Cricetulus griseus: one gene and its partners. The protein of the gene in region 3 binds, or shares a complex with, the protein of the main gene of each other region. Links are inferred from orthologs where the notes say so. Each region holds a gene or a part of one and is shown on either strand. Other genes may lie near its edges.

Region 1 (3,500 bases), on a different chromosome or scaffold from region 3:
GGTCTGCATGAACTGACTTGATTAAAACAAATGTCTTTAAAGAATTGGGGATGGGCATTTGCCTAGCATTTATGAGACTATGTTCTGTCACTACCATTACCAATTTAAAAAAAAAAAAAAAAAACTTTACATAGTCTCTTATTCCATATGCATATTGAATATGGCCACTAAAATGATGATTTATGAAGCCCAGTTCCAGGCATAGTTTTCATTAGTATGTTCTAAGGAGTTAAGAATAAATATTGTATTTATAAAATTGATGTATCATTTATTGTTTAATCTGTCTTTAATTAAAATTGGAACACAAAAATGATTACCTATGCTAAAAATGATTACACAATATGCTTATTGTGTCCAGTTCAATATTTGTGGCACTTTATGCTTGAGACATTGTGAAGGGTATAAAACTGAGAATATTTAAAAACCAGCATTGACCTAATAGTGCTGTATAAACACTGCTTAAGAAAGTATTCTCTGATAATACAATTTGCTTAGGAATTAGTTTTCTCTAGGTGTTCCCCCATACCAAAAACAAGTTCTTTCTACCTGGCCACTAACCAGGTTTATTGGTTTATTCATCAACCAATAAGAGAAACATATACACAGAAGGACATCACCACATCATCTCCTCTTTTCTAAATAAAAAGGGTTTTATCCTTAACATGGTAAAATTACATATAACAAAACAGTTATCAAGTAAGAACTATAGTTACAATATTTAGTCCATTAACATTTAGCAAGATTTAAAGAAAATATTCTATCTATCCTATCTTTGTGAGTCTAAAGTCTTATGTGTAACTTATCTTTTATCATAACTAAGGAAAACAGTAACTGTAACTATTTGTCTTCAACTCCATCAAAGACCATAGAAGGATAGTATATAAACTCTAGAATTGACAGAGACATCTCACTGCCTGGTCAATCACCCAAAGTTCCTCTATAACATTGGAACATCCATCTTCGGCCCATAGGCCATAGTGTGTCTGACAGACTTCTCAGTGAAACAGGAAATTTTAAACTGTCCTTCTGTATTGGCAGACATTTCCATGAAGCAGGAACCCTGCAGGACTGTCCCATTTTGTTTCAGCAGTTCAGCAGTCACTTTCCTGTGGGCACTGCATGTCCACCATATACGGTATACAGGCAAACAGTCCAGGCAAGAGCAGTTTCTTGCCCAAATAGTCATGTCAAAAGCAATAGGCTTTTGGGATTGAAAGATAAATATATTTCTCCAGGATAGATTTTGTGTGTGTATGTTTTGTGTGAATATGAAACCTATTTAAACTTAAAGCATTTTTCCCCCAAGCACAGCATCACTGTTTCATGGTGTGTGAAGATAACCCAGAAAATTAAAGGAGTTTCAAAAGAGAATTTGCAGAGGATGCTCTAGGAAAAGTCTGAGTACTGAAGACAGTGAGAACCATGGACCAGAACAACAGCCTTCCACCTTATGCTCAGGGCTTGGCCTCTCCACAGGTAACAACAGGAAGGGGGGACAAGAAGGGCTGACAGAGAAGGTGAAATTTAACCATCCAGTAATGGACATGGATTTGTATGTTTCTCAAGCTTGTTTTACTTTGTGAAAATTTATGCTGTGGATAGGCATAATGCCCCTTTGCTTGGGAGTTTATTTAGAAGACTGTTCCATCTTTGTGAACTGTAGAACATTTATTTCATTTGCTTCAGGAGGTTCCTTCTAGACCCTCTCGCAGTCACTTTCCTAGCCCAAGATGACAACCAAATCTGCTTTCCAAAATTAAACATGTTTTGATGTAAAATGTATGTGTGTATTTGCAATAGAATTAAACCTAAATTGTTACTAATTTAGTATAAATTTTGCCATTTTTTCTTTCTACTTCCACATAAATAATTACTAAATCTAACAATGTTTGTAAGACATAGAAGCATTATAGAAAAGGCAGTTAACAGTATTTTATAGGCTTTGTTGATTTTTGTTTTTAGTAGAATAAATAGCTCTTTGAAGTATCATAGAGTATACCATGAGCTTGTCATCTTGAACCTCTAGGTGACTTTGTGATCCATCATCCAAATGGTCACATGTTAAGCTAGAGGGTAACCCTCATATACTGGGTAGCACTTTAAAGGGACATGTACCTTTGATTTGTCCTTATGGTCTAGATATGCTTGGGAGGCTAAGCATCTTTCTTGTATATCATAAATAACAGATTAGAGATGCTAAAGTGCTCAGCTACTATATTCAGTACTACAGAAGAAAAGGGATGCATCTCAGGATAGCAGATTCTTCCCAATATTTAATGACCTATTATATTCAGCAAGCATCAGGTTTTACACTTTACCTGGGTTCCACTAGGAAAAGAACCTGTATTACTCAACATTAATGTCTTAAGCATTCTCTTTTTGCTTTCCACAGGGTGCCATGACTCCTGGAATTCCCATCTTTAGTCCAATGATGCCTTATGGCACTGGACTTACTCCACAACCTATTCAGAACACCAATAGTCTGTCTATTTTGGAAGAGCAACAAAGACAGCAGCAGCAGCAGCAACAGCAGCAGCAGCAGCAGTCTGTAGCAACTGCAGCAGCCTCAGTACAGCAATCTACATCTCAGCAATCCACACAGGGTGCCTCAGGCCAGACTCCACAGCTCTTCCATTCTCAAACTCTGACCACTGCACCATTGCCAGGCACCACCCCCTTGTACCCTTCACCAATGACCCCTATGACCCCTATCACTCCTGCCACACCAGCCTCTGAGAGCTCTGGGATCGTACCACAGCTGCAGTGAGTACCTCTTACCTTGTTTGCTCATGCCCTCTCCTCCCCTCCCCCAACGTGTGTGTGTGTGTGTGTGTGTGTGTGTGTGTGTGTGTGTGTGTGTGTGTGTGTGTGTGTGTGTGTGTGTGTGTGTGTGTGTGTGTGTGTGTGTGTGTGTGTGTTTTCCTTGTCCTCTGCACCAGAGGAAGCTTTCAGTGGTATTACACTATTTGCTTTCAGTCTTACTTAAGGAAGTGACCCAGTGGTAATTCTGTTACACTGCAGCTTCCTCGGCTTTTGGCAAGGAATTGAAGCTACAGTCAATGCTCTCAACAAAACCTTTCCTTAGAAATGGAATTGCTTGTGTTTATGTGTTTGAGTCACTGAAATGAAAACTGAGTTTCATCAATACTGTGGACATTTCCCTGTAGCTAATTGGCTGAGTCACAGTGCAGTTGTTTTCACAGGCTTGGCCATAATGTTAGCAGAGTTCTTAAGTCCAGATTTTTCTACAATTTCGCTGTGAGGGCTATATTTTATCTTTGGAATTTGTGTCTCTCTTTCAAAGTGAGGATAGCAGTTCTTGTCTTGATACATTTTTCTGCCTAAGTGAAGTAGTTCCCACGTGTGAAAAGGTAGGAGATACAGGCTTTTTTCTTTCTTCTGAAACAACCAAATCTAGATACTCCTTAGTAAGAAGTATGCAGCTTTACTTTAAGGAAGCTTATGTCCTGATTAAAGGGTTCATTGCAGATGACAACACA
Region 2 (4,283 bases), on a different chromosome or scaffold from region 3:
TGCGACGGTCCCCGGGCGCGCGCCGCAGGCTCAGCCTCTCGCTAGCGTCCCCTCCTTGGCGGGCGGGCCGAGGGCGGTGCCCTGCTTGCTGCTCCGCCCTGGCCCATCTGCAGGGGCGTCCGGTCGGGCTGGGGTCTGCATTGGAGCCGCCTCCTGGCCTCCGGAGAAGCGGCAGGGGGCGCTTGCAACGCGATCTTGCACCCCTTCTCTGGGGAGGCCGGGGGCTGACCCGGCCCCGAGAGGGTGCGGGGCCGGACGGGGGCGGGTCCGCTGGCACGTGGAGGGGACGGGCTCTCGGGCGGCTGCAGCGTTGTGCGGGAGGGGCTGAGGATGTAGTGACTCCAGGGCTGGGGCAGGGGGCTGCTGACGAGCTATCTCGGGCTCTCCAGGCCAGACTCGACTGGGGCAGCCTCTGCTTCGCGTTTGCTGGCGGCTCAGACGGGTCTGGGAGGATTCCTGAGAGCCCGCTCCCTTATCGCCTCCCTTCCTCCTTTCTTCTTTTCCTCCGGGTTCCCCCGGGAAGGTGCACCTGGAACTGCTAGGCCTGGAGATCGGGGCGGAGGTGGAGGTGGGAGGGGACGGGAAGGGGTGAGGCCCGAGGGAAGGGAGCTATTGGTGCGGGGGAGGCTGCTCCTGGGAGGCGGGCGTGGGGGAGCAGAGGTCGCTCCTCCCAGGCATCGCTTAAAGGGGGAACTTGAGTAGCTGCTGACGCCTCGAGGAAGCGGCCCAGTGAAGCTCTACGTTGTCTTTCGGGATCCTTGGAAGGATAAGAACAGTGTGGCGTTGGCACAAAGAGGATGGACAGCGTTAGGTTGGTGCCACTGGAGAGGACGGTGCCCAGAAATCCGTGTAGAAAGAACAGCATCAGGATGAAGACTCATTCAGCAAACAGAGGGTGGTGCTCAAGGGGAGCGTACGGTGCCCAGTACGGGGGCTGCGATGAAAGGAGATAGCACCTGGAAAGAGCGCGCTGCGAGCTGTCGTTTCCCAGGGAAAGGCCAGTGTCGGGTGGAAGCGCACTGGATCAGTGTCCAGAAGAGGGTAGTGTAGTGGGGTGACAGGCAGTACCAAGTTCAATTGGCAGTGTTCTAGGGGATCAGAGTTAGTGCCAAGCAGGGCCAAGGGAAGACCGGCGTGGCGAGGAGGTGAAGCCCCAGGCGAGGGCACAATGCGGGCTTTCCTTTCCCTGACAGTGACATCACGGCAAATTCCCAAACCGGACGGACCCGGCTCGGGTGACGTCTAGCTGGTCAGAGCCAGCTCGGACCAGCGTGGGGAACCTTGGTGGCCGTCCGAGGGGCTGGGCACTGCGTCCCGCTGGGCGGGCGCTCTGCGGGTGGAGTTCGGCTTCACCCTCCTGCAGCACGGACTGTGCCCTCGGCGGGCACGCGGACCGCAGGGAAGGGCTAGGGCCGGGCTCCCTCTGGGCCAAGGATCAAGGTTCCTGGCTGGGTCCGGTCCCGGAGCCTTCCAAGCATCGGGATCCGGGGTCTGAAGAGGGCGCCCTAGAGCCGGGCGCATCGCGGTACCCGCCGGGGGTGGGACTTAGTCTGTCCCCGCCTTGGGCGGAGTCACCGCGCTTTGAGACTCGCCCACAAGGTCCGAGCCACTCCGAGGTGGCCTTTCCCGGCGGAAGTGAAGGAGCCCCGAGGGGAGGCAGCGGAAGTGGCTGCGTTGCTGAAGCCTGTGCGCATGCGCCCTGCGGCTGGTTGCCGCTTTTTGGGGCGGTACTCTGCCCTGTCTTCTTTTCTCCACGTGAGGGGGTGCGCGAATTCCCAGTGGTGGCCGCGCGCTCCGCACCTCTGCAGTTCTCGTGCCCCTTACGATGGCGGGCATCCTGTTCGAGGATATTTTTGATGTGAAAGACATTGACCCAGAAGGCAAGAAATTTGACCGAGGTAAGGTGTGTAGGGGAGGTGAGGAAGAGGCCAAACATGCCCACCCACCCCAAGTGGCCCGTCCCACCCTCTCGGTACCTCCCTCAGGAAACAGTGTTTTTCATAATGAGAAACTTGGGACAGCTTTTCCTATGATGTTTGCGGTGTCTGGTGCCTCGGTGGCCCTTGGCTTTGGGGTTGGGAAAGCCCTGGACACCTTTCTGACTCCTTATTCAGTATTACGTGCTGTATGTACCGTGCGCCTCTCTCGCACACTTAAGTATTGTAGTAAGAAGTGATGGTGCCCGATCTATTTTGTTACTTAAGGCCGTGCAGCGAGTTACCTCCCTGTCTTCCTAACCCATAGTTTTGTATTGCCCCAAGAATTGTTAGCCCTTTGCCGAGTCCTCTATAAATTTCATGCAGCTGACTGCTTGGTGTATTCATTTCCCAGTAATCCGGAAGTTGTTTCTTCTCAGTGTCACTTTACCTGGAGACAGACCCCCCCCCCCCCAATACAGATTCTCTTTGTAGCTCTGGCTGTCTTGGAACTTGCTTTGTAGACCAGACTGGCCTTGAACTCAGAGATCCACCTGCCTCTGCCTCCCAAGTGCTGGGATTAAAGGCGTGCCCCCCCCATTTTTAAAGACAGGTGTCAGTTCTCAATACACCCTGCCTATTCCCTCCGCAGAGTGCCTACTAGGAAGTGGGGATCTCTGGACTAATGACTATCTTGTTCAGAGTTGAGTTTAGTCTAAATCATCCAGGTGTGCTTAGAGCCTAGAGACGGGTTGCTGCCAGAGAAGTTCTGCTTCTTTCTTGGGATCCTGACACTTGCTGAGGTGTTTACTCCCTTTCTTCTCTGAATCTGATTTGGATTGCACTCTGTGTCTGTGTCCCAGAGCAAGGCTAATGGCTGTGGACTAGTTGAAAGATTTGTTCTCCTGCATTCGACCCCGACTCTGTTGCCTGTAATTATGTCTGTCGCTCTTTCCCAGTATCTCGGCTGCACTGTGAGAGTGAATCTTTCAAGATGGACCTCATCTTAGACGTGAACATTCAGATTTACCCAGTGGACTTGGGTAAGTGTCCAACACAGGAGCTAGCAAGTGAATTTTTTTGTTTGTTTGTTTGTTTTTCGAGACAGGTTTTCTCTATGGCTTTGGAGGCTGTCCTGGAACTAGCTCTTGTAGAACAGGCTGGTCTCGAACTCACAGAGATCCGCTTGCCTCTGCCTCCTGAGTACTGGGATTAAAAGCATGTGCTGCCAACGACTGGCTTTAGCAAGTGATTTTTATCTTTGGTTTCCGCTTGATGCTCTTTTCAGGTGACAAGTTCCGATTGGTCATAGCTAGTACTTTGTATGAAGATGGTACCTTGGATGATGGTGAATACAACCCCACAGATGACAGGCCTTCCAGGTGAGGCGGTGGTAAAGGAGGGACTAAATAGATAAGTAGTACATAGAATGGTCTTTATTTTACTGCTAGAAAAAGACATTACTGCACTTAGAATTCACACAACCAGAACTGGGTGTGATGGTTTGTGTCTGTAATTCCAGAACTCGGGAGATGAGGCAGGAGGATGAGGAGTTCAAGAACACCATTGGCTGCACATCAAATCTGAGACCAACCTGGGCTGGAGACCCTGTCTCTAAAAAATTTGAAAAAAATTTCAAACAACTGGCTTGATTACTTAGTGAGAGCAGTGAGTGGAAGCTTGTGAACTGCAGTTGTTTATTTATTTGAGACAGGGTCTCACTTTGTAGTCCTGGTTGGCCTGGACTATGTAGACCAAGCTGGTCTCAAACTCACAGATGACATCCACCTCCTCTGCCTCCTCAGTGTTGGAATTAAAGGTATGTACCACCACACCCTGCAAATGTAGCTTTTTTAAGGCCTAGAAAATGATTACATAGTAACCTAGATTTTGGTGTGACAGAAAGACTGTGGAGTATTGGGTCTGGTGGTACACACACTTAATCCCAGCATTTAGGAGGCAGAGGCAGGAGACCTCTGTGAGTTTGAGGCTAGCCTGGTCTACATAGCCAGTTAGGACAGCCATGACTATATACTGAACTTTTACTTCTCAGCTCCACTACTTCCATCTTCCATTTCCTTATCAATAAAGTACAGACAGTCATTTCTAGTTCACTGAATTGATGTGAAAGCCAAATAAGGTTGCGCTTCCATGGCATTTGTTGTTATCAGTTTCTATTTTAATTATTTCTATCTTTTTGGTTTTTCGAGACAAGGTTTCTTTGTGTGGCCGTGACTATCCTGGAACTTACTCTGTAGACTGTCAGGCTGGCCGAAAACTCACAGGCCTCTGTCTCTGCCTCTGCCTCTGATTCCTGAGTGCTGGGATTGTGCCACCATGCCTGGCTCAGTTTCCATTTTTAAATGT
Region 3 (3,500 bases):
TGTGCATGTGTGTGTCCAACACACATATGGAGCTCAGAGGACAACTTTCAGGAGTCAGAGTCTCTCCTTCCACCATGTGCATCCTGGAACTTGAACCTCCAGAGTTGGTGGCAAACACCTTAGCCTGCTGAGCTAGCTTGCTGGCTCCACAATGCTAACTCTGGAACTACTGTTCCAAATCAGAAATTTGATCCCCAAAAGGGGAAGACAGCTAATCGCACTTCTCCAGCCAGTAGATTCCTTAGTTAACTGCTTACCTGCTGTTCATCCGTGTACCTGGAAAGACCTCATCCTCATCACTGAAGCTCTGTGTGTGCTTTTAAAACAGTAGCTCACTATGCTGCCTAGCTTGGCCTCTGACTCACAACCTTCCTGCCTCAACCTTGACAATATTACAAACATAGATTTGTGTCACCACACCTGATCAGTGTGACATCTTGATTTCTTTGGCAAACTGTCCCCTTTGCCATCTCCTTTGTCTTGGCAAATGTCTTCATTCTTGTTGCATAAGCCAGAACCTAGGATCATGCTTGTGTTTTTCTTATATCTTATACCAGCCATTGCTAAGCCCCTTGACTCTGCCTTCAAAATCTGCCTCAAACCTGACCACTTTTCATCGTCTGCAGAACAAGTGCTCCTAGCCAAGCTCTTGTCCTTCTGTCCTGAAAGAGAGACCTCCTCTTCCCATCCCAGCCCTCCTGTAATTTCATCTCTGCTGTGGACCGGATAGTAGTTCCAGTCAAAGAGCAAGGACATGTTGCTCTCATGTTAGAGCTCTCCATAAACTTCTGTCCTTATGTAGAATGTAATCCAAAGTAAAGACCCTGATCCTGAAGCTCCACACAGTGTAGTTCCACTGTCTGTACTGTAGTCTGCTACTTTTTGTCATTTGTAACCCTCCCACACGTGCACACAGGCACACACACATCCACACATACCCACCCACACTAACACACACACATACACACCTTTTTGCTGCTGTTGGCCTGTTGGGATTTTCCTTCAAGGTAGAATTCATCAGGTTTGTGCTCAGATACCACCTTCTTAGGGAGGTCTTTCTGGCCATCCACTTGCCCCTCCTACCTTTGGATGCCCCTGCACTGCCATTTTCCTGAGTAGCACTTTCCTGTGTGCATTGTGATGTTTGTTTATTTATAGGAGAGGGGAGGCATCATTCACTCTCATTTCCCCAGACCCAGGGGAGTGGCTCAGAGTGAGATCCATCCCTATTTGTAGAATGGACAGTGTCCACTTGAGGAACCTGGCGGGTGGAGGGTAGGAGAAGGTACTGCCTCCTTCAGGGGCTCCCGGAGAGGCCTCTCTGAGGACATCACACCAAGGACTTAACATACTTTCAGTGTTCTTTGTAATTGTTCATCCTTTTATTTTAAAAACAGTTTGTGTTGGCTATTTACAAATTTACATCTCTTCAGAATTTCACTCCACCCTGCTCCCATAGATAACCCTAAATGCCTGTTAGCCTGGTTCCCTTCTAAAGCCTTCATGGACTTTCACTGCTAGATTGCTTATCCAAAGTGAATCAGTTATGATCTGTCTTGAATGCCCCGTGTTTTGTTACTCGGTTTTTAAAGTCTTACTTTGTTCCTAAAGAAGCAGCAGATGTCTGTTCCGGATCTGTGGATGGAGTGGAATACTCGGAGTGGAAGGAGAAGGGTGTCCTGAAGATGACTGTGCCCAGGACCCTTGCTCTCTGCTACCTGTCTTTGCTCTGGCAGAGAGAGACAATTACCCTTTCAGATCTTTTGAGGTGAGCTGAGCTGACTTCCTGATCATTTGTTCATGGTTATCTGTGGGAACTTAGGAGCAGCCTCTGGATATTCCTGACTTTACAGGACAGACCTCGGACTTCGGGAAGTGTGTGGGTTACTTTTCTCCTTGTGAAAGAGAACTGACAAAAGCAACAAACTTAGGAGAGGGAAGACTGGTGCTGGCTTGTGGTGGAAGGGGATACAGTCCTCCGTGCTGGTAGTGGGCTCATGTCAGATCACTGAGTAGAGGAAGGGATGTGACTATCTTTATTCCATTTCTCTTCTGTATTGGGTTCAGGGCCTAGTCCATGGGGGTGGGGCAGTGCCACCTGCATACAAAGTGGATTTTCCTTTAGTTAAACCTCTCTGGGAACTTTTCCCCAGACATGCCTGAGGTAGATGTGTAACCTAGACCAGTTCAAATTCAGTCAGACTGACAGTGACCCTTAACCCCACTGCATGGAGCTTGGGTTCTCATTCTTGAAGTTAATCGACTTTAAGTCTAATAATTCAAGTCTTTACTGATGCAGTGGAAATGGTAGTGTTCTGTTCACGTGAGATATTAGAAAGTTAATTATCTCATGTGAATAAAGTACTTTGAAGAGAAAGTTGACATTAATAGTGTTGTATAGACATCTTAAGTATTTTTCTAAGAAAAGATGAACAGGGATCTTTTACTAGCAAAATGGCCTTTAGCAGTTATATAAAACCATGTATTGTGGCTATAAAAACTAAAATATAGGCAGTCTGTGTATTAGGAAAAGTTGATATCAAAACTATAGAAAGACCTTGTAATGCAGTAGTAGGCTTTTACATATTTCAAGGTAATCTAGAGAATTTTAGACAGAAAGACTGGCCTAAAGAAGTAAATGCCTGAGATAAAGCCAGCTCTGTTGTACAGGGTTTTATAACTAATGAGCTGAGTGTATAAGAATCAGTCACTTACTAGGCAGACCACAATCATTAATATGTTCATTTCTCCCTTCCCTTATATGTGTTGTGAATAATAACATTGAATTTAATCAGTACATGGAATGCTTACAAGGGCACAAGTTTGAAGCCAGACTTCTGGCTCTGCCAATTCGTCCTCACATGACGTTGAGCAAGTCAGTAAATGTCTGTTTCTGCTTCCCTCTAGGTAAAATGGGCTATACTAATAATGGCATCTTAGGGTTCTAGCCACATTGGCCATTGGCAGTTAGAGCAAGTCAGTAGAGCCCTGGCTAATTGTGATTATTTAGTTTTCCCTATCACCCTCATCCTTGTCATCATCATCATTATTGGCACTTGGCCCTTTTATTAAATAGAATGCTTCTATCAGCCTGGTCTCCAGAGTGAGTGCCAGGATAGGCTCCAAAGCTACACAGAGAAACCCTGTCTTGAAAAACAAAAACAAAAACAAAAACAAAAACAAAAAAGAATGCTTCTAGTTAATGATGATAGTGCCTTTGACTTGGCACATTAACCAAATAACCAAGCTTTTCTCGGGTATGAAAACCACTTGTGATTCTGAGTTGAATATTGCCTTGCTTTGCACCCTCACTAGATGACATCATCTTCTCCCAAGACTCTAATTATTATCTATGTGCCGAAGACTCCCGATTCTGTATTACTGCCCAGGCTTGTCTAGTGAGGGCCCAACCCATATATTCATTCATCTGTGTAGCTGCCCACTGGACATGACTACCTGATGTCTTTATGGTTGGTTAAGTCTGTATGACTAAAAAGTGC

Evidence for each region. Proteins that work in one complex are often made in the same cells at the same time.
Region 1: Taf1b (region 3) and Tbp share a complex: the UniProt entries of both Homo sapiens proteins name them as parts of the transcription factor SL1/TIF-IB complex. The link is inferred for Cricetulus griseus from reciprocal best matches to the Homo sapiens genes TAF1B and TBP.
Region 2: Taf1b (region 3) and Polr2h share a complex: the UniProt entries of both Homo sapiens proteins name them as parts of the pol I pre-initiation complex. The link is inferred for Cricetulus griseus from reciprocal best matches to the Homo sapiens genes TAF1B and POLR2H.

Annotation. Positions count from the first base shown.
Region 1 is NC_048595.1:294,445,530-294,449,029, forward strand, and holds part of Tbp (TATA-box-binding protein), read left to right. Parts: intron 1-1,306; exon of another isoform or gene 1,307-1,311; 5' UTR 1,312-1,422; coding exon 1,423-1,476; intron 1,477-2,392; coding exon 2,393-2,763; intron 2,764-3,500. UniProt on the Homo sapiens protein: The TFIID basal transcription factor complex plays a major role in the initiation of RNA polymerase II (Pol II)-dependent transcription.
Region 2 is NC_048597.1:67,932,157-67,936,439, reverse strand, and holds the start of Polr2h (DNA-directed RNA polymerases I, II, and III subunit RPABC3), read left to right. Parts: upstream 1-1,483; 5' UTR 1,484-1,825; coding exon 1,826-1,898; intron 1,899-2,875; coding exon 2,876-2,959; intron 2,960-3,204; coding exon 3,205-3,298; intron 3,299-4,283. UniProt on the Homo sapiens protein: DNA-dependent RNA polymerase catalyzes the transcription of DNA into RNA using the four ribonucleoside triphosphates as substrates.
Region 3 is NC_048600.1:27,151,102-27,154,601, reverse strand, and holds part of Taf1b (TATA box-binding protein-associated factor RNA polymerase I subunit B), read left to right. Parts: intron 1-1,611; coding exon 1,612-1,768; intron 1,769-3,500. UniProt on the Homo sapiens protein: Component of RNA polymerase I core factor complex that acts as a GTF2B/TFIIB-like factor and plays a key role in multiple steps during transcription initiation such as pre-initiation complex (PIC) assembly and postpolymerase recruitment events in polymerase I (Pol I) transcription.